4 linked regions of the Elephas maximus indicus genome follow. The protein of the gene in region 2 interacts with the protein of the main gene of each other region in a pairwise test. Links are inferred from orthologs where the notes say so. Each region holds a gene or a part of one and is shown on either strand. Other genes may lie near its edges.

What was found.
Region 1: the proteins of IPCEF1 (region 2) and CYTH1 interact in binary tests that used the Homo sapiens proteins (3 or more experiments, as listed by UniProt). The link is inferred for Elephas maximus indicus from reciprocal best matches to the Homo sapiens genes IPCEF1 and CYTH1.
Region 3: the proteins of IPCEF1 (region 2) and CYTH4 interact in binary tests that used the Homo sapiens proteins (3 or more experiments, as listed by UniProt). The link is inferred for Elephas maximus indicus from reciprocal best matches to the Homo sapiens genes IPCEF1 and CYTH4.
Region 4: the proteins of IPCEF1 (region 2) and CYTH3 interact in binary tests that used the Homo sapiens proteins (3 or more experiments, as listed by UniProt). The link is inferred for Elephas maximus indicus from reciprocal best matches to the Homo sapiens genes IPCEF1 and CYTH3.

What each region holds. Positions count from the first base shown.
Region 1 is NC_064837.1:68,622,862-68,630,719, forward strand, and holds the start of CYTH1 (cytohesin-1), read right to left. Parts: upstream 3,004-7,858; 5' UTR 1-3,003. UniProt on the Homo sapiens protein: Promotes guanine-nucleotide exchange on ARF1, ARF5 and ARF6. Promotes the activation of ARF factors through replacement of GDP with GTP.
Region 2 is NC_064819.1:226,120,260-226,127,522, forward strand, and holds the start of IPCEF1 (interactor protein for cytohesin exchange factors 1), read right to left. Parts: upstream 3,010-7,263; 5' UTR 2,963-3,009; coding exon 2,944-2,962; coding exon of another isoform or gene 2,903-2,943; intron 1-2,902. UniProt on the Homo sapiens protein: Enhances the promotion of guanine-nucleotide exchange by PSCD2 on ARF6 in a concentration-dependent manner.
Region 3 is NC_064822.1:181,132,355-181,139,452, reverse strand, and holds the start of CYTH4 (cytohesin-4), read right to left. Parts: upstream 3,012-7,098; 5' UTR 2,890-3,011; coding exon 2,871-2,889; intron 1-2,870. UniProt on the Homo sapiens protein: Promotes guanine-nucleotide exchange on ARF1 and ARF5. Promotes the activation of ARF factors through replacement of GDP with GTP.
Region 4 is NC_064830.1:101,037,326-101,044,896, reverse strand, and holds the start of CYTH3 (cytohesin-3), read right to left. Parts: upstream 3,021-7,571; 5' UTR 2,957-3,020; coding exon 2,908-2,956; intron 1-2,907. UniProt on the Homo sapiens protein: Promotes guanine-nucleotide exchange on ARF1 and ARF6. Promotes the activation of ARF factors through replacement of GDP with GTP. Plays a role in the epithelial polarization.

The sequences.
Region 1 (7,858 bases), on a different chromosome or scaffold from region 2:
TTTATGAAATGCCCTAGGGAAAGGGTTTTTTTGCTTGTTTTTAAAGCCTGATATTTAATATCAGTCACAAAGTGGGAATTCGGAAGGAGTTGAAGAATGGGATTATCTACAAAAGCGAGGGCTGCGCTTAGGGACGCCACCAAGGAATGATAAAGTACCAGTCCTAGGCTGGAGGGGCTGAAGGCACAAGCACTGCTGAACGGAGGGGCCCACCTCGTAGAAGGATCCAGCTGACCCTCTGCTGCCTGGCAGGGAGGAGCCCAGGAGAAATGGCTTTGTCCTCACTCTCCTCCATCCACCAGGAGCAGAGGGCCAGGGAGCCTGCCGATCACTGTACACAGGCTGAGTCTACCTCGAGAGAGTGACTGGAGAAGGGGGTGGAACTGGAAGAGCAGAAGGAAAGTATCTGCACAATCCCGAAGTCAGAAGACAGGAGGAACCAGGTTTGTCACTACTGGAAAAGGGATGTAGGAACACGAAAAGGGCGCAGGCTAGAAAGAATCCCAAAGTGCCGGACTGGAATCAGAGGGATGCGTGTTTGTAACGGTTGATGATCTATACTGTACTTAGCCAGCTCTACCGCTGGACACGTACCTGTTGTTTCCATTATATCCTATGTGATGACATATAATCACATGTAACGTCGTTTCCATTATATCCTATGTAATGCTGCAGTACACTGTACCTTTGTGCTCTTCTCTGATTGGTTCCTTAGGCTAAATTCCAGAAGCAGACTTATAGGTCAAAAGATATAACCTATTTTAAGACTCATACATGCTATGAAATCAGTTTCTCAAATGTTTCCATTTTCCAGCTGTGTCTGAAAGCACTAGCCTCGCCACGACTTCATCCCCAGTGAGTATTATCATTTAAAACATTTGCCGACTTGATAGTCTCTTAACATTTATGCTGCTGATTACCAGTGATGTCAAAGCTCTTTCGTTGTGTTTATTTGGCGTGGGCATTTGTTCTTCTGTAAATTACTCGTAAGTGTTGCAATACAATCATGTAAATGTCTTAAAAACCCCTGGAAGGGCATCCGTAGGTTGGAACACACGGTGACAGAGGCTTGTCAATCCTCGGCAGGCAGAAACCTGAAAATACTGCAAAACACTTTTAAAGGTTTTGCAAAAAGGTTAAGCAGGAGGGCGGGGCCAAGGTGGCTTACTAGGTAAAAGCTACCTCGGATCCCTGCTGCAACAAAGACTCAGAAAAACAAGTGAATCGATCACATACATGACAATCTACGAACCCTGACCATCAAACACAGATCTAAAGAGTTGACCTGAGTGACAGGGGAGTGAAAAGCTGTGCCCTGAAGCAGCGACCACCTCTGGAACCTGCGTCCCACTCCACAGCCTTGAGCCCTCGCAGTTCCCTGGTGCCGAGTGGTGGGGCTGACTGCAGCTTGCTGAGGCGGGGCAGGCACGGGACACAGCCCTAACCCCTAGCTCCTTGGGGTAACCTCAGTAGAGACTCAGCCAGCACAAGCAGGCTGCACACTGACGCAGCTAACAAGAGAACGAGCAACCACAGGGAAGCAGCGACTGTTTTCAGAGCCTACAGCCAGCATCCCAGTCAGAAACCCTTGGTGCCAGGCTTTGGACCGGGCACAGGGGAGCTAAGCATGGCTTCCTGAGGTGGTGCAAACACGGGACGCAGCCCTAGCCCCCTGAAGTGACCTCGGGGGAAGCCCAGCCAGCGCATGCCAGCAGCGCAACAACGTGGCTGACAAGAGGAGAAGTCACCGGGAGGCGCTGGGCTTTGGACTGGGAGCGGAGGAGCTGACCACAGCTTCTGAGACAGCACAAGCACAGGAAGCCAGTCTGACCCTCGGGGGCAATCTCGACCCTGCCAGCACACATAGGCTACACGCCCCCCGTCCCTCAGGGAATCTCAGATAAAACAGTCATCGCCAAGCAAGATAAGTAACTTTGTCTATATTGCTGGGTGCTACTCTCTCCTATCTATCTGATCCCTACCCTCTCTGCCCCAGGTGGCTTCATTAACATTGGAATTTCCTGGGCCAGGGAGTGAAGTGCTCTGTGGTTTGTTTGTTTGTTTTTTTTTTTTTTTTTTTTGTCTTTTCCTAACCCATTCTCCTGGCCTGAGAGAAGCAGCTATTAAAAACCCAGGGATGAAAAATCCTTCCGTAACTTCCCTAAACTGGAATAAAAATACAGAACCAGTTCCAGCCAAGCATATGAGATCCACAGTCTTTGGCTTTCATCCCTACAGGGAACAAGGTGGCTATTATAATGCAAAGGCAATTCTAATAGAGATCTGACTGTAATTGTTTTAGTGGATCACTGGAAAGACAAGTTTTCCAGGTCTGATATCTCTACCTATTAAACAGAGCCCTCACTGATCCACAACAGGGAACTGAGGGCTGAAGCTCCACCCAAACCACCTAGCCACCTGCCAAAGGGGTCTGAGGATACTGACACCTACCAATCTTTAGAGGTACATGCATTGGGTGCCTAAGGTACAGCTGCAGAGCCCACCCACCAAAGTGCTTTAGGAATAGAGACACACCTACCGCACTGGCATGTGGGGGAAGGCTGTCAGCAACCAGCCCCCCTGGAGTGTGACCCCCTGTTGCTACTAGAATCTGGTGCACACAACTATCACCACTACTCCTCTAAGTTAATAGGTGACAGTCTACACCACACACTTGGTGACCCAAAATCAAAACACCTAAGCTGATTCTATTCAAGAATAGTGAATGGACTCTTAGGCTTACATATCTGGTAACAGCCCAAACCAGCCGGTAATAGAACATAAGCAATTCAAAGGCTACAACAATCAAGACAGTGCAATCTAGTAGCCCATCTGCATATAATGAAAGAAAACAAAATAAGATAAGACTCAGTGAGCAAATATAAATCATTACAATATCTTAGAGATAGCTCAGAGACAGCAGTTGATATCAAACCACATTAAGAAAAAGACCATGACTGCTTCTACAACTCCCCAAATTAAAGAATCAAAATCTTTCCCAAATGAAGATATAATCCTGGAATTGCCAGATGTAGAATATACAAAACTAATATAAAGAATGCTTCAAGACATCAGGGATGACCTCAGAAATGAAATAAGGAAATCTACAGAAAAAGCCAAGGAACACACTGATAAAGCAGTTGAAGAAATCAAAAAGATTATTCAAGAACACGGTAGAAAAACTAATAAGCTGCTAGAATCTATAGAGAGACAGCATTCAGGAATCCAAAAGATTAACAGTAAAATTACAGAATTAGACAACTCAGTAGGAGGTCGGAGGAGCAGAATCGAGCAATTGGAATGCAGAGTGGGGGAGCTGGAGGATAAGGCAATTGACACCAATATAGTTGAAGAAAAATCAGATAAAAGATTTAAAAAAATGAAGAAACCCTCAGAATCATGTGGGACTCTATCAAGAAGAATAACTTGCGTGTGATTGGAGTTCCAGGACAGGGAGGGGTAACAGAAAATACAGAGAGGATAGTTGAAGATCTGTTGGCAGAAAACTTCCCTGACATCATGAAAGACGAAAGGATATCTATCCAAGATGCTCATCGAACCCCATATAAGACTGATCCAAAAAGAAAATAACCAAGACATATTATCATCAAACTTGCCAAAACCAAAGATAAAGAGAAACTTTTAAAAGCAGCCAGGGATAAAAGAAAAGTCTCCTACAAAGAAGAATCAATAAGAATAACTTCAGACTACTCAGCAGAAACCATGCAGTCAAGAAGGCAATGGGATGACATATATAGAGCACTGAAGGAGAAAAACTGCCAGCCAAGGATCATATATCCAGCAAAACTCTCTCTCAAATATGAAGGTGAAATTAAAACATTTACAAATAAACGCAAGCTTTAGAGAATTTACAAAAACCAAACCAAAGCCACAAGAATTACTAAAGGAAATTGTTTGGTCAGAAAATCAATAATATCAGATACCAGCACAAGACAAGGTCACAAAACAGAACATCCTGATATCAACTCAAACAGGGAAATCACAACAACAAATTAAGATTTATTTTAAAAAGAAAAAAATGCTCAAAACAGGGAATCATTGAAGTCACTATGTAAAAGATCACAATAATCAAAAAGAGGGACTAAATACAGGAGGCATAGAGCTGCCATATGGAGAGGAAAACAAGGTGATATAGGACGATACAAGTTAGGTTTTTATTTAGAAAAATAGGGGTAAATATTAAGGTAACCACAAAGAGGTCTAACAATTCCATAAATCAAAATAAAAACCAAGAAAAACATAACAACTCAGCAAACATAAATTCGACTACTATGAAAATGGTGAATACACAACTTACAAAGAAAAACATCTCAGCGCAAAAAAGTGGAAAAATGAAATTGTCAACAACACACACAAAAAGGCATCAAAATGACAGCACTAAACTCATACTTATCTATAATTACGCTGAATGTAAATGGACTAAATGAACGAATAAAGAGACAGAGAGTCTCAGACTGGATAAAGAAACACGATCCGTCTATATGCTGCCTACAAGAGACATACCTTAGACTTAGAGACACAAACGAACTAAAACTCAAAGGATGGAAAAAAATATATCAAGCAAACAACAATCAAAAAAGAGCAGGAGTGGCAATATTAATTTCTGACAAAATAGACTTTAAAGTTAAATCCACCACAAAGGATAAAGAAGGACACTACATAATGATTAAAGGGACAATTGACCAGGAAGATATAACCATATTAAATATCTACACACCCAATGACAGGGCTGCAAGATACATAAAACAAACTTTAACAGAACTGAAAAGTGAGATAGACAACGCCACAATTATAGTAGGAGACTTCAACATACCACTTTCGGAAAAGGATAGGACTTCCAGTAAGAAGCTCAATAGAGACATGGAAGACCTAATTGCTACAATCAACCAACTTGACCTTGTAGACTTATACAGAACGCTCCACCCAACAGCTGCAAAGTATACTTTTTTTTTTCTAGTGCACATGGAACACTCTCTAGAATAGATCACATATTAGGTCATAAAACAAACCGTTGCAGAATGCAAAACATCGAAATATTACAAAGCATCTTCTCAGACCACAAGGCCATAAAAGTGGAAATCAGTAACAGAAAAATCAGGGAAAAGAAATCAAATACTTGGGAACTGAACAATACCCTGCTCAAAAAAGACTGGGTTATAGAAGACACTAAGAAGGGACTAAAGAAATTCGTAGAATGCAACGAGAGTGAAAATACTTCCTATCAAAACCTCTGGGACACAGCAAAAGCAGTGCTCAGAGGTCAATTTATATTGATAAATGCACACATACAAAAAGAAGAAAGAGCCAAAATCAGAGAACTGTCCCTACAACTTGAACAAATAGAAAGCAAGCAACAAAAGAAGCCATCAGGCACCAGAAGAAAACGAATAATAAAAATTAGAGCTGAACTAAATGATTTAGAGAACAGAAAAACAATTGAAAGAATTAACAAAGCCAAAAGCTGGTTCTTCAAAAAAAGTTAACAAAATTGATAAACCATTGGCCAGACTGACTAAAGAAATACAGGAAAGGAAACAAATAACCCAGATAAGAGATGAAATGGGCCATATCACAACAGACTCAACTGAAATTAAAGGAATCATATCAGATTATTATGAAAAACTGTACTCTAACAAATTTGCAAACCTAGAAGAAATCGATGTATTCCTAGAAAAACACTACCTACCTAAACTAACACAATCGGAAGTGGAACAACTAAATAGATCCATAAAAAAAAAAGAGATTGAAAAGGTAATCAAAAAACTCCCAACAAAAAAAAGCCCTGGCCCGGACAGCTTCACTGCAGAGTTCGCAAGGTTGGTTCAATATTAGAAATACTATTAATGTAATCTACCATATAAATAAAACAAACAACAAAAACCACATCATCTTATCAATTGATGCAGAAAAGGCATTTGACAAAGTCCAACACCCATTCATGATAAAAACTCTCAGCAAAATAGAAATTGAAGGAAAATTCCTCAGCATAATAAAGGGCATCTATACAAAAATTTTTTTTTTATACAAAGCCAACAGCCAACATCATTCTTTTATACAAAGCCAACAGCCAACATCATTCTAAATGGAGAGAGCCTGAAAGCATTTTCCTTGAGAACGGGAACCAGACAAGGATGCCCTTTATCACCGCTCTTATTCAACATTGTGCTAGAGGTCCTAGCCAGAGCAATTAGGCTAGACAAAGAAATAAAGGGCATCCGGACTGGCAAGGAAGAAGTAAAATTATCTCTATTTGCAGATGACATGATCTTATACCCAGGAAACCCTAAGGAATCCTCCAGAAAACTACTGAAACTAATAGAAGAGTTTGGCAGAGTTTCAGGTTACAAGATAAACATACAAAAATCACTTGGATTCCTCTATATCAACAAAAAGAACATCGAAGAGGAAATCACCAAATCAATACCATTCACAGTAGCCCCCAAGAAGATAAAATACTTAGGAATAAATCTTACCAAAGATGTAAAAGACCTATACAAAGAAAACTACGAAGTACTACTGCAAGAAACTAAAAGGGACCTACATAAGCAGAAAAACATACCTTGCTCATGGATAGGAAGAGTTAACATAGTAAAAATGTCTATTCTACCAGAAGCCATCTATATATACAATGCACTTCCGATTCAAATTCCAATGACATTTTTTAATGTGATGCAGAAACAAATCACCAACTTCATATGGAAGGGAAAGAAGCCCTGGATAAGTAAAGCATTACTGAAAAAGAAGAAGAAAGTGGGAGGCCTCACTCTACCTGATTTTAGACCATATTATACAGCCACAGCAGTCAAAACAGCCTGGTACTGGTACAACAACAGGCACATAGACCAATGGAACAGAATTGAGAGCCCAGATATAAATCCATCTACATATGAACAGCTGATATTTGACAGAGGCCCAGTGTCAGTTAATTAGGGAAAAGATAGTCTTTTTAACAAATGGTGCTGGCATAACTGGATATCCATTTGCAAAAAAATGAAACAGGACCCATACCTCACACCATGCACAAAAACTAACTCCAAGTGGATCAAAGACCTAAACATAAAGACTAAAACGATAAAGATCATGGAAGAAAAAAATAGGGACAAAGCTAGGAGCCCTAATATAAGGCATAAACAGAATACAAAACATTACTAAAAATGACGAAGAGAAACCAGATAACTGGGAGCTCCTAAAAATCAAACACCTATGCTCATAAAACTCAACCACAAAAAGATAAACAACCCAAATAAAATTGAAAGACAAACAACCCAATTAAAAATTGGGCAAAGGATATGAACACACACTTCACTAAAGAAGATATTCAGGCGGCGAACAGATACATGAGAAAATGCTCTCGATCATTAGCCATTAGAGAAACGCAAATTAAAACTAGGATGAGATTCCATCTCACTCCAACAAGGCTGGCATTAATCCAAAAAACACAAAACAATAAATGTTGAAGAGGCTGTGAAGAGACTAGAACTCTTATACGCTGCTGGTGGGAATGTAAAATGGTACAACCACTTTGGAAATCTGGCGTTTCCTTAAAAAGTTAGAAATAGAACTACCACACAACCCAGAAATCCCACTCCTCGGAATATATCCTAGAGAAATAAGAGCCTTTACACGAACAGATATATGCACACCCATGTTTATTGCAGCACTGTTTACAATAGCAAAAAGATGGAAGCAACCTAGGTGCCCATCAACAGACGAATGGATAAATTATGATCTATTCACAATGGAATACTACACATCGATAAAGAACAGCAATGAATCTGTGAAACATTTCATAACATGGAGCAACCTGGGAGGCATTATGCTGAGTGAAATTAGTCAG
Region 2 (7,263 bases):
TGATGAAGATCAAAGACTATATAGCCTTCAGTGTGGCTTATACCTTAACATAAAGAAAACAAAAATCCTCAGAACTGGACCAATAAGCAACATCATGATAAACAGAAAAAAGATTGAAGTTGTCAAGAATTCCATTTTACTTGCATCTACAGACAATCCCCATGGAAGCAGCAAATGACATATTGCATTGGGCAAATCTGCTACAAAAGACTTCTTTAAAGTGTTAAAAAGCAAAGATTTCACTTTGAGAACTAAGGTGTGCCTGACTCAAGCCATGATATTTTCAATCGCCTCATATGCATGCGAAAGCTGGACAATGAATTAGGAAAACTGAAGAAGAATTGATGCCTTTGAATTATGATGTTGGTGAAGAATAGTGAATATATACCATGGACTGCCAGGAGAACTAACAAATCTGTCTTGGAAGAAGTACAGCCAGAATGCTCTTTAGAAGCGAGGATGGTAAGACTTCGTCTTATGTACTTTGGACATGTTATCAGGAGGAACCAGTCCCTGGAGAAGAATATCATGCTTGGTAAAGTATAAAACCCATTGAAATCAAACCCATTGCCATCAAGTTGATTCCGACTCATAGTGACCCTGTAGAACAGAGTAGAACTGTCCCAAAGAGTTTCCGAGGCGTGGCTGGTGGATTCAAACTGCCAACCTTTTTGTTAGCAGCCATATTTCTTAGCCACTGAGCCAACAGGGCTGTTATACAGGTTTAGAGGTCATATAGCTGCTAACTGGCAGACACAGACTTTGAACAGATGTGTCTGACCCCAAAAATACGTTTTCTTCCTGCTATATCACACTGTCCTCTCCACCACCACAACCAACACCAAGTCCACCACTTCAACCACCACTTTCAACACTACCACAACCTGTACCATCATCTACACCACCCCTACCACCACCACTTCCAATACCACCTCCATCTCCATCTCTACCACCAGCTCCATCTCTACCACCACGACTTCCACCTCTACCACCATCACAGCCACCACCTCGACCACTTCCAGCACCCCTCAAACTCTACCACCATCACAGCCATCACCACCACCACCTCCACCTTCACATTCTTTACCTTCACCTCTACCACAACTACCACCTTCACCATCCGACCACCATCACATTGCCACCCTTTTCACTTTGTTGAGGTAGGGCGTCTTATCAACTATTTCCTACAAAACACCTTCATATTCCCTTCCTGTCCTACTTCACTCTGACCTCTTCCAACCTGCATTCCCCTGTATGCATAGGTAACAGAAATAAAGTGACAGCTACTGCACCACTACAGGGTCACTATGAGTTGGAATCCATTGGACGGCAATGGGTTTAGTTTTTTGGAAGCCCTGGTGGCGTAGTGGTTAACAGCCACAGCTGCTAACCAAAAGGTCAGCAGTTTGATTCCACCAGGTGCTCCTTGGAAATCATATGTGGCAGTTCCACTCTGTCCGCTAGGATCGCTATGAGTCGGAATCAACTCTACAGCAATAGGTTTGGCTTTCGTTTACCCAAATGTATTCGTTTTATGAAGACCCCATTCATTCATTCAACAAATAGTTATTGAGAGCATATGATGTGGCAGGCACTGTTCTCAGTGCTAGGGGTAAAGTAATTCCTTACAGGGTTTTCTTCAAAAGCAAAAGGCTTACAGTTTAGGATTTTCTTCACACATGCATACACCACTAGCTGTATTAACTCTACCTGCAAATTGTCAGCCTGGGCTCTGGTTACCAGCTCACCCCGCCTGGCCTCCAAGCTGGAGGGAAAGCAGAAGTGAGCTGTTCAAGAAGGATACACGAGTCAAAAGGAAAGTCTCAGGCAATAGTCGTGAAGTAATGTTTTATCTCTTATTGCCACAGCCAACTACCGCAGGAAAGAACTTCCTATTTCCATATTCCGATGATGTGTATTTGCTTAATGCAGCTTGCCTGAAATAATTTATACATGGACCCTCTCTAAAAAAGATGCTATACGAAAAGGCAAATTAAAGAAGGAGAACGTCAACAAGTACACAAACTTAAGTCCTCTTCCTCCTCACTTGCATGATGTGAGCAGAAATAAATGCGTGTTCTTTCTGTTTCTGTTTTCTATGTAAAATAAACAGCTCTGGAGGATTCAGACTCTGCCTTTTTAGGGTATTGTACAATAGCACATTGCCTACAACAGTACTGAGAACACACAAGCCCCTAGGGACTAATGAAGTCCACTACTGGAGTTATTTATGCCCTTGTGGGTTGTAACTCTGACTCCTATAATTAAATTTCTTTCATATTTACCCAAGCAAAGAAAGCCAAGTGAATCTGACTCACGGTGACCTTATAGGACAGAGTAGAACTGCCCCATAGGGTTTCCAAGGCTGTAATCTTTACAGAAGCAGACTTCCACCCCTTTCTCCCACAGCACCTGGTGGGTTCAAAACCTGATCTTTAGGTTAGCAGCCCATTGCTTTAACCACTGTGCCACCAGGGCTCCTTGCCACCTACATACAAAGGGGGGATAGCCACAAAGAACACACTTTCTCAAAAGAGGGTGACAACAGGGTGTTTCCCCAAATAAACTCCTCAGGCCCCAAACCGATGCTGAATTGTGCTTTTCTAAATCAAACCCATAGTCTACAGCCCAAGCAGCTATCAATATAACGTCCATTTAAGAAACAGAGAAAAGCAGAGTGAGTACATGAGTCTCCCTCAAAGCCCTGACAAAATTCAAGAGCGCCTTTAGCACTAGACTTGACAGCAGCAGGTTTATGAAGAGCTGGGTGAATGCTGTATCCCAAGAGCCACATTTCAGAACTCACTCTTCTAAAGCTCGTGCTAAGGTATCCGTTGCTTTACCATCTTGATAGGCCAAGCAATTACTTCTTAGACATCAGCCAAGGCGTGACTTTACTTACATGCAAGAAAAAGAGTAAATCCAAGAGCTGGTTCTTTGTACCTGAGTTCACAGCACTCATAATACTCTGAGGCAGAGGCTGAGGGTTCTGCTCTCTAAGCAGCTCCAGCTTCACAGCTCAGTCTACACAGGACTACCATTAGAATTTGACCAGAGAATGAAGCTCTTGCGAAAGAAGAGGAAGTGTCATCTTACTTCCTCAATTTCATTGTTCTTCCTTCTTATCATTATTGAGCCCTTCCTTGATTCCAATACGCAGGACACAATGCACGCAACACAGGCACACCCTAGCTGTCTGGCTCCATTTGTCACCAAACACTACCGAGTGTATCCCTTCCCAGGACACATATACAAAACATTATGACATGGCTTCACTTTCCTGTTTTGGAGGCAAAGATGTTTTCTCCCAAGCTTGCAGGGTGAGATCATTTGTAGAGCCATTTTCATCATGGTAGGTTGAGATGCCACTTGTTAACCATCAACCCCATTCAGGTTCCCATTTCCCTCACAGTTTCCCTTCCTTGACCTCTCCCAACTCTGCATAACAGTTTACTCAATAAAGAGGGCACTGATAAATTTGTGAAAAGCATTTTAAGATAAAAATAAGTCTTAGTCTACCGTTCTTTCCCAGCACTCACAACAGATTCTCTAAAATCAAAGCTTTTCTTCCACACGCTAGAAAAGGAAATTGGCTAAAAGTTAAAAATATTTGAACTTAACTCCAATATGTTCCTCACCCTGCCTCAGGCCTATCTTAACCTCTCCTTTTCAACATCAGCATCTTTTCATTATACTTTCTTGGGGAAAGCATACTGTCTCACTTTATTTATTCTCTGCTTTCAAAGAAAAGGAAATAAACCATTAGAAACAGGCCAGCATAGTCTTCCAAAATGTAGTAGCTGTATCCTTAGCATGTGGATTAGCTATCTATCTCTGCATAACAGATTATCCCCAAATTTAGATGTTTAAAACAACTAACTTCTATTATCACCTGGTTTCTGTGGGTCAGGAAGCTGGCACAGCCTAGCTGGGTCTCTATAGGCTGCAATGAGGTATCAGCTGGGGCTCCGGTCATCTCAAGGCTGACTGGGGAAGGATCCACCCCCACGCTTACTCACGTGGTTGTTGGCAGAATTCAGTTTCTCACGGGCTACTGGACTGAGGTTCTCAGTCCAATGCTAGCTATTGGCCCAAAGCCACCCTGAGTTCTTCCCCATATGGACCTCTCCTTAGCTCAGCTCAAAACATGGCAACTGGCTTCATTAGAGAGAACAAATGAGAGCGTGAAAGAAAACGGGAGAGAGTATGAGAAAGACATAAGTCACTTTTGTAACTGATTCTCAAAAGTGATATCTCTGCTTTTGCCATATTCTATTTCATATTCTCTTTGTTGGAAGTGACTCACTAGGCTCAGTCTATACTCAAGAGAAAGGATCATCCAAGATGTGAAGACCAGGAGGTGGGGTCACTGGGACTACCTCAGAAGTCTGCCCACCATACTGTGTAGAACTTTTATCTAAACTCAAGTTGCACCTCTCAAGCCAAATATGAGCAAAAGGGAAGTCCCATCTAAGGGTAAAATCATTTATATAGTTATACCTCTGAGACAACGTCTGAGACTTTCATCCAGGCATGATATTTGGGGCACCCTACCTTAGTCATTACCAAGCTCACACTGGTCAGGCCTAGAAACTAATGATCCCCATCATTCCATCTCCAAGAAACAGACCAGTTAACATACAAACAAAAACCTAAACTATAAAATTAACCAAGAATCTGGAAGGTAATGGATGCAATGTCAATAACCCAGTCCCAGTGCCATCGAATCGATTCCGAGGGATGAATGTTCACCTAACCACAAGCATGAGAAGGCTATAAGCCAAGCACAGATTTAGACCTTTCTCTGTGGCTTTACATAGTCACTTTAAGCATTCATCCCATTAGGATCAGAATTCTGGACACCTGGCATTCCTTCTTGAGACACTCAATGAATCTGCTGTTTCCTAAAACTGACCAGCAGGCAGGGGTGGATTGACCAGCAAGCAAGGTATACACTGGCATGTATGGGGTTGATTGTATTTACTTGCTAACCTGTGGTGAGCAATTTCACATGGGTTTCACCACATCTTTGCCATGTAGGAGATAGGTGAAATTGTACACTGCAGATTGGTGAGAAGGCACAACTGGGCCTGTGCATGCCTTGCTTACAGGGTAATCCTACCCTGCCAGCAGGACTTCATTGCCTGTAGCTCCCAGGGAACCCCCATGGTATAAAGGCAGATCACTTCTTCTAGCTTGCTTTTAAGTATGAACTGTGTCTTAGTTATCTAGTGCTGTTGTAACAGAAATACCACAAATGGATGGCCTTAACAAACAGAAATTTATTCTCTCACAGTCCAAGAGGCTAGAAGTCCAAATTCAGGGTGCCAGCTCCAGGGGAAAGCTTTCCCTCTCTCTTGGCTGTGGGGGATGGTCATTGTCATCAATCTTCCCCTGGTTGAGGAGCTTCTCAGTGCAGGAACCTGGATCTAGGGTTATTCTCCTGGCTCTTGTTTCTTGGTGATATGAGGTCCACCTGTCTCTCTTGCTCCTTCTCTCTTTTATACCTCAGAAAAGATTGATTTAAGACACAACCTAATCTTGTGGGTTGAGTCCTGCCTCATTAATATAACTGCTGCTATTCCCACCTCATTAACATCATGGAGGTAGAATTTACAACACATAGGAAAATCACATCAGATAACAAAATGGTGGATAATCACACAGTACTGGGAATCATGAACTAGCCAAATTAACACACATTTTTAGGGGACACAATTCGATCCGTAACAAACAGCTTGGGCCGGGGCAAATAGATGGTCTGTTTCCTGGCCTGCAGATAACTGGGCCCAAGGAGAAAAGGATCATTCAGGGTAGAGAAGTAAAGAATTCCATTGACCTTAGATCTGCCTAATTTAATGATATGCTTGTAACATCTGGCATTCCAGACAGAAACCAGTGTCCCTTGATTGTCGATGTAACTTGCAAAAGATTATGGACAACATTTCTAAAAGCAAAGTGGATATCCTTTGTATGGCATGTTTTATGTCTTGGCTTTTAATGGCCAGGAGATTTTTAATTTATAGATTAAACATGGCCTACGTCCCAACATACCCCATACCTCACAAGCCAAATATCAATTAAAAAAAAAAAAAAACTGTGTTAAAAATAAATAACATTGGGGAGTCAGAGGAAGAGATACTATATAAACAAAGTTAGTATCTGGTAAAAAGCTATGACCTTTGAGGAATAGATCATAGTTTGAAAACTGCTTCAGTCTCTGGTTTCTGACTTCTTCTCATTGTCTTTATATTCTTTCCACAAGAAGATAATTTAAATTAAATTTGCAGAGGAGTAGAAGAAGAAAAAGAAGATGCTGTACATTTTGACCAGAAACACAATAAAATTCTCTCAATGGCTTCCCATTTCTGTGAACTTCTGTTTCTGGGAACTACGACCTCATCTTCTCCCCACATGAGTTGCTGCCCTAGTTCCTTGCTTTATGTGGCATCCAAAAAGTGTTAGATGGTGTTAAGGTATTTAGTAACATCAATAGCAGAGGCTTGTTTCTCACTAGATTTTTAGATGCCATCATCAAAGGGCATGTTATTCATAATTATGGGGTCAGGGTTGGAGTCACTTAAATTCTTTAAGTATAGATCCCCTGATGTATAAAATTGGAGTAATCCTCAAGGAGATTGGACTTCTAATTCAAGATGGTGGGCTAATGACAGAACCTTTTTGCCCCCTTCCTTCCTTTCCAAGACCCCTTTAAAATAAAAATAAAACAGCTGTCCCCAAGTCAGTTCTGATTCATGGGGATCCCATGTATGGCAGAGTAGAACTGTGCTGTATAGTGTTTTCAGTGGCTGATTTTTTGGAATTAAATCGCCAGGCCTTTTTTCCAAGGCACCTCTGGATGCATTAGAACCTCCGATCTTTCCATTACCATCAGGATGCATTAACCTTTTGTACCACCCAGGGACTCCTTAAAATGATAGGAAAAGTTTAAAAAAAATACAAATACACATAAAAATTAAAAAAGAAGAAGGAAGAGCATTAGAGAGATCACAACAGATTTCTGGAAGATGGAAAATAGAAGGAGGAGCAGTAACAGATGAAAGAGAGCAGGGAACCCACCATTAGTAAGGAGGGGACAACCATGGTGGAGGAAACTGCCTATCTGTGGTTCAGAATCCCTGAGACATAAACAGCCGAGAGAAGCTAGAAAATCTAAGTAAGTGATGGAACTGGAAACAGGAAAATTAATTGAATGTCTGTACGAATCTAGCACCTCTCCCACACACCCTTGTTCCATATATT
Region 3 (7,098 bases), on a different chromosome or scaffold from region 2:
CTCCCAACAGATTGCCTGAGTTGACTTCATTAGTGGAGACCCCAAAGCTCCCAACAGATTGCCTTCCTAGGGCCAGCCTGAAGCAAGGTAGTGACTCACCTTCTGGCTGCTCCTTCCTTCTCTCCCTCCCCCCCGCCCCCCGTTCTAAGCCCAAGCTAACTTGGGGGGCCCTTCTTCTCCCAGCTCATCATGTTCTTGTCCCTGCCCTGTCATTTACTGGCGCTGTGACATTGACCAGTCAGGCCTCTTCTCCAGGTCACCTCTGTGAGCCTGTTTCCTCATCGGTGTCATGGAGACATCCGACGCTGTCCCTAAGGACCTCAGGATGCAAAGACCCAAAAGAACGGAGCACTAATGGTGGCCAGAGAGGCAGTGGGGGTGTTATTTCTCGGCAGGATGGCCTCACTGCCCCATCTCACCGTCATGTCAGCTCTGCCACTCCTTTGCTGGGTAGCCTTGGGCAAGGCACTGCCCTTCACTGAGTTTCCTCTTGCCTTCTAAGCTGCATCTAAGATGTATCCACTGAGCCTGGACGGTGTGTGAGCCACCTGCCACCAAGAGCCACAGGAGAAGCAGGGGTGGAGGAGAGAGCGCTGGACAGAGGGTCAGGAGATGGGGGTGTGGTCTGACCTCTGCCTTGGCCAAGACTGCCTCCCTGTCTCAGCTTCCTTCATCCCATCTGTAAATGGGATCCATGGAATGGAGTGGATCACTGGTTCTCTAACTGTGTTCCCTGGAACCCACAGGTTCCACCTCTGGTGGGGGGTGGTGGGGGGCCCAGTGGGTGGGGTCACAACTGCTCTGTTAGGTTTTGTTTAAAGAGAGTGTGCTGTTGCTAAGCAAAGTTGACATCATCTGGGCCTGAGAAACAGGATAGCTCCTCCCAGCCCTTATGTCCTGGAATGCTAGGCAATGCTAGAACATTCTGAGACTCAGGGTGCAGGGACTTCGCCCCTCTTTCCACCTTGCCTTCTGCCTCACAGAGACACAAGCCTGACCCATTCTCTCCTCTTCCAACTTCACAGTAGCCTTTCCTCTTCTGCCCCAGACTCGGCGTCCTGGTTGTGGGCATGGTCCTTTGCTTCTCATTCCCAGCATGCCCCTCCCCACTGATTCTGCCATCAGTCTCCCCAAAGGCCACCCCCTACACACCAAGAGCCAAACTGGGGCCCCAGGGCCCTTGCACCACCACACAGACATCGTCGCCACCAACATCATCACAAGTTACCATTCTCAGTCCCACCTCTGGGCTTTGAACTGGCTGGTCCCTGCTGGGAATGTGTTTCCCCAGAAACCCACGCATCCACCCCATCCTCTCCTTCAGGTCTCTGCTCAAATGGCGTTTCCACCTGAGGCCCACCCTCTCCCTTCTCTTCACTGGTCTTCATCCTGCTTGTCACCAAGTGACAGATTACACGAAATAGACTTGCTGTCTGCCTTCCCACTGGAGTGTCAGCCCATGAGGGTAGAGACGGTGCCTGCCTGTTCACAGCCGAACCCCCTTGCCTACCACACAGCTTCACACCTAACTGGAGCTGAACAAACATATGTTGCATGTCGTTGGGTACCCCAAGTGTCTTATATCTATTTATACATTTAATCCTCCTAGGACCCTGTGAGGCAGGCACTGTTATCCCATTCTACAGAAGAGGAAACTGAGGCCCAGAGACACTGGCTGTCTTGCACAGGATCCACCACACAGCAAGAGAGTGGAGGAGGGAATTTGTAGCCAGGCCTGGGAGCCTGGAGTGTGCCCTCAGGGTCTCAAGTTAGCAGGTCAGAATGGTCCAAAGTCTGGAAAAGTCCTCCAGGGACTTGGGGGATCCAGAGCCTTGTTCCCACATAGTAGTGAGCGGGTCACTTTACCCACTGAGCCTAGTTTCCTTTTCCATTAAATGAGACACCAGTCCCTTTATAGAGGTCATGAAGCTGGTATGAGTTAGGAGAACTGACAGGCCTCACAGGATGGGATAGACCCAAGATTGCCACCTAGCAGATGGGTCCCGTCCAGAGCTCCTGGCTCCCCAGTGGCGTGCATGGCCGCTCTTGGGTGTGTGCTGTGGCCTGGCTGGCAGGATGTGGCCAAGGTGCCCACCGCCCCCCCCCCCAGCCCCCATGACACTCCCCACAGGCTAAGAGCTCCCTACCTGGGCTCAGAAAGCAGATACTAGGGAGGTGGCTGGAAGCTGATCAAGGGACCCATCTTTCAAGTTAGGGGAGCAGATTTGGGGGGCTCCAGGTGTCTGGAGTTGGGGAGCAGCTGAAGCAGACTCTGGTCCGAGAGGGAAATACAGCCCACCTCCTGATCTCAAGGTGCCCCCTCCCCCTCAGTGCTCCCACTGGTGGGGACAAGCCTCCCTCTGAGCCAGGCCTGCTCTGTCAGAGCTGGTCGGTCCTCTGGAGCACAGTGCCGCTATACCGTCTCCTGCACAGGTGCAGTCGTGCTGAAGGGGGAGCACCCAGCAGGGCTCTTGGGGACCCTGTTCCCCTCCTGCCCACTGGCAGAGAGCTCACCCATTGATGCCTGGAGAGGTGGCAGGACAGCAGCAGGAACCCTGGGTGCTGGGTTCTAATTCCTTCTCTGCTGCCCTGTGTGCCTTTGGGAAGCTTCTGACCCTCTCTGGGCCTACGCCCACTAGTACAAGCCCCTTCTGCAGAGCCTTCAGCACCAACATTCGCAATACAATGGGTGTCAGGCGAAGGTCTCTGTGGGTGCGCCCACTCCAGCTTCCCTCCTGGAACAGGGGACAGCTTCTTTCCCACCTGGCCCCCGACGCCCCCTGTCCATTCCTGGTCCTGCTTGGTGAAGCTCTTGCATATACCCACACTCTCACACTCTCTCCTGGACCCCTGCCCTTCTGGGTGCTTACCTGGGTGGCACAGGTCCATTCTGAAACCCCCAGGGGAACGGTGGCCTGTGCTCCTGCTGCCTGCTGACCCAGCTGCTGCTTGGGTTTGCCTGGCAGTGATGCGTCACCTCAGCTGCGGCAGGCCCTTTCCCTCCCCCCAAGCCCAGCCCTGTGTGGAGAGGAAGTCCTGGCCCCCAGGTCTGCTGCGCAGGCTCCAGACACAGCAGCACTTCCTAAAAACCAGCAGAGCTTCGAGTAGCAGGGACTCTGCATTTTGTGTGTGAGCGAGGGAGGGAGAGAGGGGAAAGAGACAGATAAAAAGAGAAAGAGTGAGACACAGAGAAGCATACCACACACACACACACACACACACACACACGCAGAGGCAGATAGTCACTACAGGACACAGCCTTCTCCAGGGACAATAGGCATTCATTCAGCATAGAAACCACAAAGCCTCACCCAGCTTGGACAGTCCAAGCCAGGCCCTGTATAGTCCATCCCACAGGCCCGCTTTTATCAAGGCTTACTTGAAAAACAAACAAACAAACTTCAAGGCTAGGAAGGACTTTGCTTCCCCTCACAGAAATGTCTGGCTGTTTTCTGTCTAGTGACCAGTTGGGTATTAGGTTCAGTTTCCTTTTTCCCCCAGGCTGCTGGGAAGCTCACAGCCAAATCTGAAGCTCATTTACCACAATAGTATACTCAAAGGATCCCTGGTGGCTCAGTGGTTAAGAGCTCAGCTGCTAACCAAAAGGTTGGTGGCTCGAATTCACCAGCTACTCCTTGGAAACCCTGTGGGGCAGTTCTATTCCGTCCTGTAGGGGCGTTATGAGTTGTAATTGACTTGACAGCAATGGGTTTTGGGTATACATAACAGTTATATGACAATAGCACGTGGACTTTGGGGCCAGACTCAGTCGTTAGACTCCCAGCTCTGCCACTTAGGACCTGTGTGAATTGAGCATGTCATTATCCACAGCAAGCCTCAGTTTACTCACCTATAAAAGGGAGAACTATAATATGTACATCAGAAATATGGAAAAGATAGAGCGAGACAATGTGTGTGAGACGTTTGCAACATAGCAGGTATTTAGTAAACACTACGTTCTTTTCACTTTTGGTCTTAATTTTCTTCTTTAGTTAAAATTCTTAGCTTTATGCTTGTGCCTTTTCTGGCAGTTTGACTCAAGTCCTTTACGGAGAAGGGTGTGATGTAAAGAAATATCTGTAAAATAAATGCTCATTGGCCATAACTTCATGGCACATGTTGGTTTCCTCAACTTTCTTTCACTTGCGTGGAGGCCCCATGAGGACAAGTTTGCTTTTGTGTCTCAGTGTCTGGTAAAATGCTGAGAACGTCAAACTAGTTACAGTCAAGTTGATTTCGACTTATGGTGACCCCAAGTGTTTTAGGGTAGAACTGTTTCATAGGGTTTTCTTAGCTGTAATCTTTATGGAAGCAGATCACCAGGGCTTTTTTCCACGGTGCCTCTGGGTGGGTTCAAACCATTGACCTTTAGGTTAGCAAACCCACGGCTGTCGAGTCGATTCTGACTCATAGTGACCCAGTAGGGTTTCTGAGGCTGTAAATCTCTACAGAAGCAGACTGCCACATCTTTCTCCCTCCGAGTCACTGGGTTTCTAACTGCTGGCGTTTCCGTTAGCAGTCGAGCACTTTAGCCACTATGTCTCCAGGGTTCCTTGTTAGTCAAGTGCAAACCATTTGTGCCACCCAGGGACATAGAGGGTGTAGAAGTGTGGAATGAGTGAATGAAACACAGGGGAGGTAGAATGGTAGATGCAAAAAAACTGGCCACAGCATCCACCCCTCCCTGTATCCACACCCCTTTGCACAGTGACGTTGCTGCTCCTCCCACCAAGAGGTGGAGTCTATTTCTTGAATCTGGGTCAGCCTGTGTCTTGTTTTGGCCAATAGAATTTAGCAGAAGTTACATTACGTGACTTTCAAGGCTAGGCCTTAAGAGGCCTGGTAGCTCCCACTCTTGCTCTTGGACCGCTGCCCAGATGCTATGAGAACAAGCCCCGGGTCGCCTGCTGGAGGATGGTGACCATGAGGAGAAATGTCTGGCTGGCCTGGCTGCTAGCCAGCCCCAACCTCATGAGTGAGCCTAGGCAAGACTAGAAGAACAACTTAGCTCAGCCCAAATTGCTATCCCACAGATCTGTGAGAAATAATAACTTCTTGTTGTTTTAAGCTACCAATTTTCAGGGCGGTTTACTATGCAGCAAAAGCTCACTGATGCAGATGGAATCCAACCCCTTTATTTCACTGAAGAGGAAACTGAGGCTCATTTCAGGGATGTGCTTCTCCAAGTTGGAACTTGAGTTAGTGGCCCATTCAGGATGAAAAGCTAGCCCAGCTGACTCCCAGTCTAGTGTTCGTAGGACTCCCTCCTCCCCCACTGGTGCTCACACAACTCAAGGTTATTTTCTAGGAAATTTGTTGAAATTATCTCTATGGTAAACTAGAGTTTTCTCAATAAATCTGGGTCTGAGGCACCACAAACTATTTCCTGGGGCACTTCAAAAAGAGAAATGGGGAGAAAGGCGTAACGCTCTGCGCAGAAAGAGTTAATGTAGCAGGCCTGAGGTTGCTATCCAGAGAAAAGCTGGCTTGCAAGGTTGGCCCTTGGCTGGGTCTGGGAACTTGGATTTCGGGATGGTTCCCATCATTCCCTGTGCCTAAAGTGTTTGTGCAAATCTACAGTTTATGCGGAACCTTTGTTTTCCTTCTGGGAGTCTGGAATTTTGGTACTTGCTAGGGAAAGGGTGGCTACGAGGCTTGTTCCCAATAAAAACCTTGGGTGCTGAGTCTGTAATGAGCTTCCCTGGTAGATAACATTTCACACGTATCAGCGCGATTTGTTGGAATCACACAGTACACTCTGTGTGATCCCACTGTAAGAGGACTCTTGGAAGCTTGTTCCTGGTTTCCTCTGGACTTCGTACCAGGTGCCTTTTCCCTTTGCTGACTTTGCTTTGTGTCCTTTCACTGTAATAAGTCCTCATTGTTAAGTATGATCAAAAGCTGAGATCTGTGTGTCCTCCTAGGAAATCACCCAAATTGAGGGTGGTCTTGGGGACCTCTGACATCTGCCCTAATGCTGTGGCTGGACCCAATGGATGTGTCTCACCCAGGGCCACAGTTTGGCGTCTTGGACTTGTGTCTTGCCTGAAGGGTTGGTAGAGTGGTTCAGTTATTATTACTATCTTATTCTCTAAGACTCAACTCAGACATAATCTCCCCTGTGAAGCCTTCTGTGATTGTGCTCGCTCTTCCTCTGCCCCTTCAGCCCTGGTCATGTTGGACAGCTTGTATGCAGATAGCCCAGGAGGGAGGGACCCTCTCGTTGTGGCTGGCAAAAGGTTTGTTAAAATAACAGGACAGGAACTACAGAGACCTCGATTAGAATACTGACTTAGCCCTTGCTAAGTTGTGTGACCTTCACCCTCTGAGCCTCGTTTTTCTCGTCATCTGCAAAATGCGGACAGTTAAGATTAGGTTTGGTTAGATGAAACAGGTAACCTAAATGACAATGGTTTATGTAGATTAGAGATTTATTTATCTCTTATGAGAAAGAAGCTTGAGGTAGGCAATACAGGGCTGCCCTGGTAGCACCATGGCCACAGGGATCCAGGCTCCTTCCAACTTTCTGCTTCTATCCTCAAGGTATCTTCATGATCCAAAGTGGCTGCCTGGTCTCCAGCCATGGTATCTGAATTCCAGGTAGGAAGAAAGATGAAGATGGGAAAGGCAAAGAGGGTGTTCTCAGCCATATGAGAATTTCCCCAAAGCTCCTTCTGGCCTGAGGTCAGACCTTCTACCCTAAATGGGGCTCTGCTTCCCACATGTGTACTAGGCAGAAGGCCAACAGTTGATGATAAGACAACGCATGGTGGTCTCCAAACAGGGAGTGTGGGAGGTCCCAAACAACCACCACTACGACTTATGGAGTACTCACTACGGGCCAGGCACAGTGCCAAGTGCTAATACATCATCTCTTTTAATCCTTTTCACAACTCGCCAAGGTGTGTGATTACAACCCCCAGTCTGTAGGTGTAAAAATTGAGTTCAGAGAGATGAAATCATTTCCCATAAGGTCACTGAACCAGGAAAGGGCAAAGATCAGCGTGAGCCCTGTGTTTTTGGCTTCAGAGACCTGCTCTGAACTTCTGCAAGCATCACTCCAGACTTTTCAAAAGAAACTCGGTGGTCTGCCCTCCT
Region 4 (7,571 bases), on a different chromosome or scaffold from region 2:
ACCAACACATTAACAAATAAGACCTTACAAATTATCTTTGGCCTCTGCTATAACTACCATTTAAATAGATTACTCACCCTTTTAAGCAAGCTGAAACTTTGCGTACTTTGTTCTAAAAATATACCAAAGAGGTTATATTTTACAATTGTTTGGCAACTGACTGAAATATCTGCTAAAGGGCTGAACTTTATCTTAAAACGTGAATTTTAAAACAAAGCATTTTTTAAAAATCTAAATGGCGTTAATAAGTGTAAAGAACTGTAAGAGGTCTGTCAGGTTCTAAGGCCCTAACGATCAAGAGTTAAATGTAAGCACATAGAATTTATACAATAATCTATATACAATGATTCTTATTTTGAAACTTTTGAAAAAGATTTTCACTTGATTCAAAAATAAATATTGCTAAGGGTCTTTCACAATACAAGATTTTAATAAACCAAATCAATAAAGGTCAGAAGTTGTTTTCCAGCACCTAGCAGGCTGCTAGTTTAGTAGGAAATCAATAAATATCTGTTCATTGTTGAATGTTCCAGTGAGGTGAATTAAATTATATATTAGAAGCAATCATATACCTTTCCCACTAGCGAGTCCATTTTTTGTCTTTCTCCCTCAAAATTTGAAAGTAATTAATGCTTAATCCAGAAATCTGGAAAATACATAAACTAAGAAAATAAACCATCCATGGTAACACTAGTTTTAACATTGTTTAGACCATTACTTATAAAACAACACTATTTTTAATGCCTGTAAATTATTTTCCTCCAATAAGCTTCCCCTAATTTACCTCACATTCCCCTACTGTTGGGCACCGCTGCTTCTAATTTTTTACTATTATAAATAGTGTGATGTACATCTTCATGAATAAGGTTTTTTTTTTTTTTAATTTCAAGATTGTTTCCTTGTGATATATTCCTCCCAAAAAACCAAACCCATTGCCGTCAAGTCAATTCCAACTCACAGCAACCCTATAGGACAGAGCAGAGCTGCCTCATAGGGTTTTCCTAGGCTGTAATAAAAAAAAAAAAAAAAATTTTTTTTTTTTAGTCTTTAAGGAAGCAGGCTGTCATGTCCTTCTCCTAAGGAGCCGCTGGTGGGTTCAAATCGCCAACCTTTCGATTAGCAGCTGAGCACCTACCCGCTGCACCACCAGGGCTCCTTGATATATTAATAGCCCAAAGAAAGCTCTAACACTCTGGATATTTAATGTCAGGCTTTGTTATAGGACTCAAGACCTATAAATTGCTCCAGGACTCTGGCTCCCTTTTTTTCTCTTTATATCTGCTTTTACCTTCAAGTCTTCTACATCTCTTTGCTCACGGAGTCCGACGCACCTTTCCATGTCTGTCGAGCTACCTTAACTCTAACATCAAACAGTTAAATGTTAACGGAACCAGATAGACATAAGGAGAATGTTCATGCGTTATAAAGAATGTAACCAATGTCACTGAACAATTTGGGTAGAAACCGTTGAATGGGAACCTCAACTGCCATGTAAACCTTCACTGAAATGCAATAAAATTTCATTAAAAAAAAAAGTTTGAATGTTACAATTGTCTTTATTTTCTAAAAAAGAAAAACGGCTATGCCTGCTATGTTGTGTCCTCCAAGGAGTGATGGGCAGGAAGCGCTGTATCCACAGGGAATCCATTACTTAGAATCCTGTGTCTTCAGACCGACAGCCTGGCTGTAGGAGGGTTTGCAACTGGGCTCCTTCTTTGCACAGCACTTTCTTTCATAAACAACACACCCACTTGGTGCCATAGTGCTATCGCTAGCTTTAACTCCGCGCACTGAACTCTCAAACGCTGTGACTTGTGCCAACTTCCCACCATCACAGCCACATTGCTGCTTTCAGGAAAAAAAAAAAAAAACGTTTCCCTCGGTGCAGCACTTAAATTCTAGAAGGCACCTTGATTAACTTCATCCTGAAGCATTCAATCCTGCTGATTCTTACAGGCAACTGCTAAGCAGCCTGTAATTAGGACTTTTCAAAAAACGCTCGCCTATGACTTGGGGTTCTTCTGATCATTTGGTCTGTCAGCAAAAAGGGTATCCTGAACAAAAGTATAGAGAACCTCGACCTCGGGTGTCCCTGTGAAATATGCGTATTAATCCTGTACTTTTCCAAACCAATGTCCCAATCCAGGCAGACACATTATTTGGTTTTAAAAAAGCAATTCGCAGCAATACATCCCATCACACAACGGTGTACCGTATTCCACTAAATAGTTCACAACAAATGCTGCTCGAGGTGACAGGACGTCAAACACAGACGACCTGGGCCACCCTGCCACGGACACGACCCACCTGGGAAAGCTGTCCTTCCCCAGAGGCGACAGGAAAGGGGTCGCCGGTGTCGAACTCCTGCCGCTGGCTGTAGCTCCTTACTCAAGCCCTCGGCTCTGCCACTTTTTTATTTTTCGCTTATCCACACCTGTAATCTCGCTGTCCTCCGCCCCACAAGCAATTCCAGAGACCACGTCGGACCCAGAGCCGAGAAAAGTGTTCATTCTGAGTTTGAACCCTCGCTCCCTCCTCTGACCCTGGCGGAGCCCCATTCCCCACGGCTCAGCCCCTTCCCACCGCCCGAGAAAGGAACCGGCGCCGGTCAGCCCCAGCGGCGGCGGGGCCCCGGAGGGCGTGGACGCCCTTGGCGACGGGATACGGGGAAGGTCGCCCGCGGGGACTCCCGCCCGGAGCAGCGACCCCGCGGCCTCGGCTCGAGCCGCCCGGGCACCCCCGCCTCGCCCGGGACCCTCGCTCGGGCTCGGCGGCGACCGCGGCCGGCCCCGCCCGGTCTCCTCAGGCCGACCCCGACCGCCCGCCCCGGCCCCGGCCGCCCTCGTCGGGCCCGTCCGGGACCTCCGCCCAGGCCGCCGGCCGAGCCGCCACACCTCTGACACTCACCTCCGCCCTCGCCGCCGCCGCCGCCGCCGCCGCCGCCGCCTTCATCCATCTTGAGGCGACTCCCGCTGCCGGCACGCCGGGGCCGCCGGGCGAGGGGCCGCGGGCGGGGGCGCCGCCGGTGCGGAGCGCGCGGGCTGCCGGCTCGGCTCCAGCAGCGCGGCGGCGGCCGGCTCGCGGCCCGGGCCTCCTCGGCGGGCGGGGCCTCCTCGGCGGGCGGGGCCCCCTCAGCCGGGCGGGGCCTCTTCGGCCGGTGGAGCCTCCTCAGCCGCCCGCAGCCCGCCGCCGTCATGTGACGCATAGGCCCCGCCCCTCGGTGGGCGGAGCCCCAGGGTGCTCGGCCCCGCCCCCTGCCGGAGTGTGGCTGGTGTCCTGACAGCGGCCCACGCTCCTGGGCGTCTCCTCCGATCCGGAGGCTGCGGCCAGGCGAGGGTGAAATGGGGTCCCAGCAGCCTTAGAACAGATGTGGGGTCTGGGACACTGCAGTGCTTCCTTCTACAAAACTCAGGCGAGGCGTCCTCCTCGCACTTGCACTCAGGAAAAAAGGTCCAGAAATGAACGTCCTGGAAAGTCAGACCCTCCCCTTGGGGCCCCCCAAAATGTAAGGTCCCCATCAACAGATGAATGGATAAACAAATTATGGTACATACACACAGTGAAAGACTATGCAACAAAAAAGAACAATGATGAATTCGTGAAACATTTCACAACATAGATGAATCTAGAGGGCATTACACTGAGCAAAATAAGTCAATCTCAAAAGGACAAATATTGTATGAGACCACTATTATTTACACGCTGGAAAAAAAAAAAAACTTTGATGGTTACAAGGAAGGGAAGGGGTGGGGAGGAGAAATCGCTGACTAGATAGTAAAAACCAAAAAACCAAACCCATTGACCTCAAGTCATTTCCGACTCAAAGCAGCCCTATAGGACAGAGCAGAACTGCCCCGTAGGGTTTCCAAGGAGCAGCTGGTGAATTCTAACTGCCAACCGTTTGGTTAGCAGCTGTAGCTCTTAACCACTACACCACCAGGGTTTCTGACCAGATAGCAGATAAGTGTTAACTTTGGAGAAGGGAAAGACAGCACACGATATAGGGGAAGTCAGCACAACTTGGCCAAATCAAACTCATAGAAGCTTCCTAGACACTTCCAAACACCTTGAGGGCCTGAGTTACTGGGGCTGAGGGCTGGGGAACATGGTCTTGGGGGACATCTAGATCAGTTGGTATAACATACCTCATAAAGAAAACATTCTACATCCTACTTTGGTGAGTAGTGTCTGGGGTTTTAAAAGCTTGCAAGCGGCCATTTAAGATACATCAATTAGTCCCATCTCTAACAAAGCAAAGAAGAATGAAAGAAAGAAAAAAAAAAAAAAGACACAAGGAAAAGATTAGTCCAAGGGAGTAATGGACCACGTGAACCACAGCCTCCACCAGCCTGAGCCCAGAAGAGCTAGATGGTGCCTGGCTACCACCACCAACCACTCTGACAGAGATCACAACAGAGGGTAGAACAAAATTCTTCAGTCACAAAAAAAGACCAGACTTGCTGGTCTGACAGAGACTGAAGGAACCCGCAAGACTATGGCCCCTGAACAGCCTGCTAACTCAGAAGTGAAGCCACTCCTGAAGTCCACCTTTCAGCCAAAGATTAGACAGGCCTATAAAACAACAATAACACACGTGAGGAATGTGCTTCTTAGTTCAATCAAGTATGTGAGACCAAATGGGCAACACTTGCCCAAAAGCAAAGCTGAGAAGGCAGGAAGGGTCAGGAAAACTGGACACAGGGAACCCAGGGTGTAAAGGGAAAGGGGGAGAATGCTGACACATTTTGGGGATAGTAACCAATGTCACAAAACAGTTTGTGTATAAATTGTAAACTTTCATGTAAAGCACAAGAAAATTAAAAAAGAAGAAGAAGAAATGTAAGGTCGCCACAGGCCTTCGGAATTATTCCAGCCTGTCAAGCTTTCTGATATACAATGCAGCCTCTTCTCCTTTCCTGGCAATAAGACTGCACTTGGAAATGAACAGGGTATAAGGCTTTATAAACGCGTGTTCCCATAAGGTAGTACCCAAATCCTAATCCGGCACACCTGGGTTCCCTCCCCTTTCACATGGGAAGAGGTGGGCCAGCCTGGCCTCTGGTGCCCTTGAAAGTTTAGCTTTGTTGTTGTTGTCAGGAGCCATCCAGTTGATTTCCCAATCATAGTGACCCCATGTGACAGAGTAGAACTGCCCCACATGGTTTTTTAGGCTATAATTGTGTGTGTGTGTGTGGTCTAAGTGAAAGTTTACAATTCAAGTCAGTTTCTCATACAAAAACTTATACACATGTTGTTATGTGACCCTAGTTGTTCTCCCTGTAATGTGACAGCACACTCCTCCTCTCTACCCTGTATTTCCCATGTCCATTCAACCAGCTCCTATCCCGTTCTGCCTTCTCATCTCGCCTCTAGACAGGAGCTGCCCATTTAGTCTAATGTATCTACTTGAGCCAAGAAGCACACTCTCTACCGGCATCATTTTATGTTTCATAGTCCAGTCTAATCTTTGTCTGAAGAGTTGGCTTCAGGAATGGTTTTAGTTCTGGGCTAACAGAGAGTCCGGGGGCCACGTCTTCTGGGGTCCCTCTAGTCTCAGTCAGACCACCAAGTCTGGTCTTTTTACTAGAATTTGAATTCTGTACCCCACTTTCCTCCTGCTCCATGAGGAGCTCTCTTATGTGTTCCCTGTCAGTCCGGTCATTGGCAGTAGTCGGGTACCACCTAGTTCTTCCGGTCTCAGGTTGATGGAGTCTCTGGTTTATGTGGCCCTTTCTGTCTCTTGGGCTCATATTTTCCTTACGTTTTTGGTGTTCTTCATTCTCCTTTTAGGCTATAATTTTTACCGAAGCAGATTGCCAGGTGTTTCTCCTGCAAGACATTGGGTGGGTTCAAACCACCAACCTTTCAGTTAACAGCCAAGCACTTAACCATTGCACCACCAGGGCTCCTTAGTTTAGCTCTAATCTCCCTTGAAAAGCTGCCAGCTGCCCTGGATTTAGGATGCAGACACACAGAAATGAGAGAAAGAGCGCTGAATTCCATTTCCCAGGGCATAGCCAGGACCCTAAGCACAGGTCTCCCAGTCAGAAGACCTCAGGTTGCCTCTGCTACAAATCTTCTCTATATATCTTTCTCACTCCATATCCTGCTTCCAGCAAGTCCTCCTGCAGCAGTGAATGTGCCCCCCTTCCCCAGACCTTTCCGTTCATTTTCCATCTAAATTGTGTTAAAGAAAAGCAAATGTCATAATGGAGGAGATCATTCATATCTAATATAATTTCCCGGCAACTGTTTTATGTTTGCAAATTATCCATGGAATCAAAGGATCCCTCTGCTGTGGTCCATCAAAACGGACAGCATTCACCTTTTTGTTCAAGGTTGTGGGATGATTCCAGACAAAGAGCTGAGTCTCCAAATAATCTCAGGAATTAAGCAGCCAGCATTCCTGTTCTTTGAAAGGCACTATGGACCCCTCTGGGTGTAGATAAGATGTTTGGCAGCTTATGTGACAAAAGTGTAACAGAAAAGGGGCCTGGAAGTCAGGAGATACACGTTCAAGTCCCAGCCCACAGATGTAGCTTCCTGATCTCCTTCCTATCTGCTTTGTCATCTTGAAGATGACTGCATAGCTACTGGGAAATATGAGAACATTCTTTGAACTTGACACTGTGCTTTGTGGAGATTTGAACTCAAAGATACTATCAGTTATAAACACATTGAAATGTCTTCCTAATTCTTTAGGGCCCTTGAAGTGTCACCTATAGGTGATTCTGTCAGAGTTTGAATTATTCAGTTCCAAACGTGGGATTTTTGACAAGTCCCCAAAATAACTATTTCTAAGCAAAAACAAATGTTTCTGGACCTCTGGATGACAACATCAATGAAGATGCTTAATGACTGTCTTTGGTTTTGTCACATTTCCAGTAAGAGTTCTTCCAGCTGTCATCTCTGTAAAAAGTAAAAAGTTGGCTTAAGAAACAGATACAGAAACACCAATGTTCACTGCAGCACTATTCGCAATAACCAAAAGGCGGAGACAACCCAAGTGTCCATTAACAGACAAATGGACAAGTGAAATGTGGTCTACTCACACAATGGAATATTCCTCAGCCATAAAGAGAAATAAAGTTCTGATACACACCACGACGTGGATGAATCTTGAGAACACGATGCTGAGTAGAAGAAGGCAGACACAAAAGGACAAATAGTGTATGACCCCACTTACATGAAATATCTAGAACAGGTAAATGCATAAAGACAGAAGGTAGCTTAGAGCCACCAGGAGATGGGGAGAGGAGAGAATGAGGAGTTATTACTTAATGGCTACAGGGTTTCTGCTTGGAGAGAAGAAAACATTTTGGAAGTAGGTGGTGGTGATGGTTGCACAATACAGTGAGTGTAATTCATGTCACTGAATGGTACACTTAAAAATGGTTAAAATGGCAAATTTTTTGTTATATATATATTACCACAAGAAAAAAGAAAAGAAACCGACACAGAAAATTCTGATTTGAGCTGAACTTCAAGATTTTGGAGGGCAAGGTTCAGCTCACTCCTCCCCCACCCCCAAGGTATGAGCTCCCTTCTTCTGTCAGAGGGACCTCTCAGCT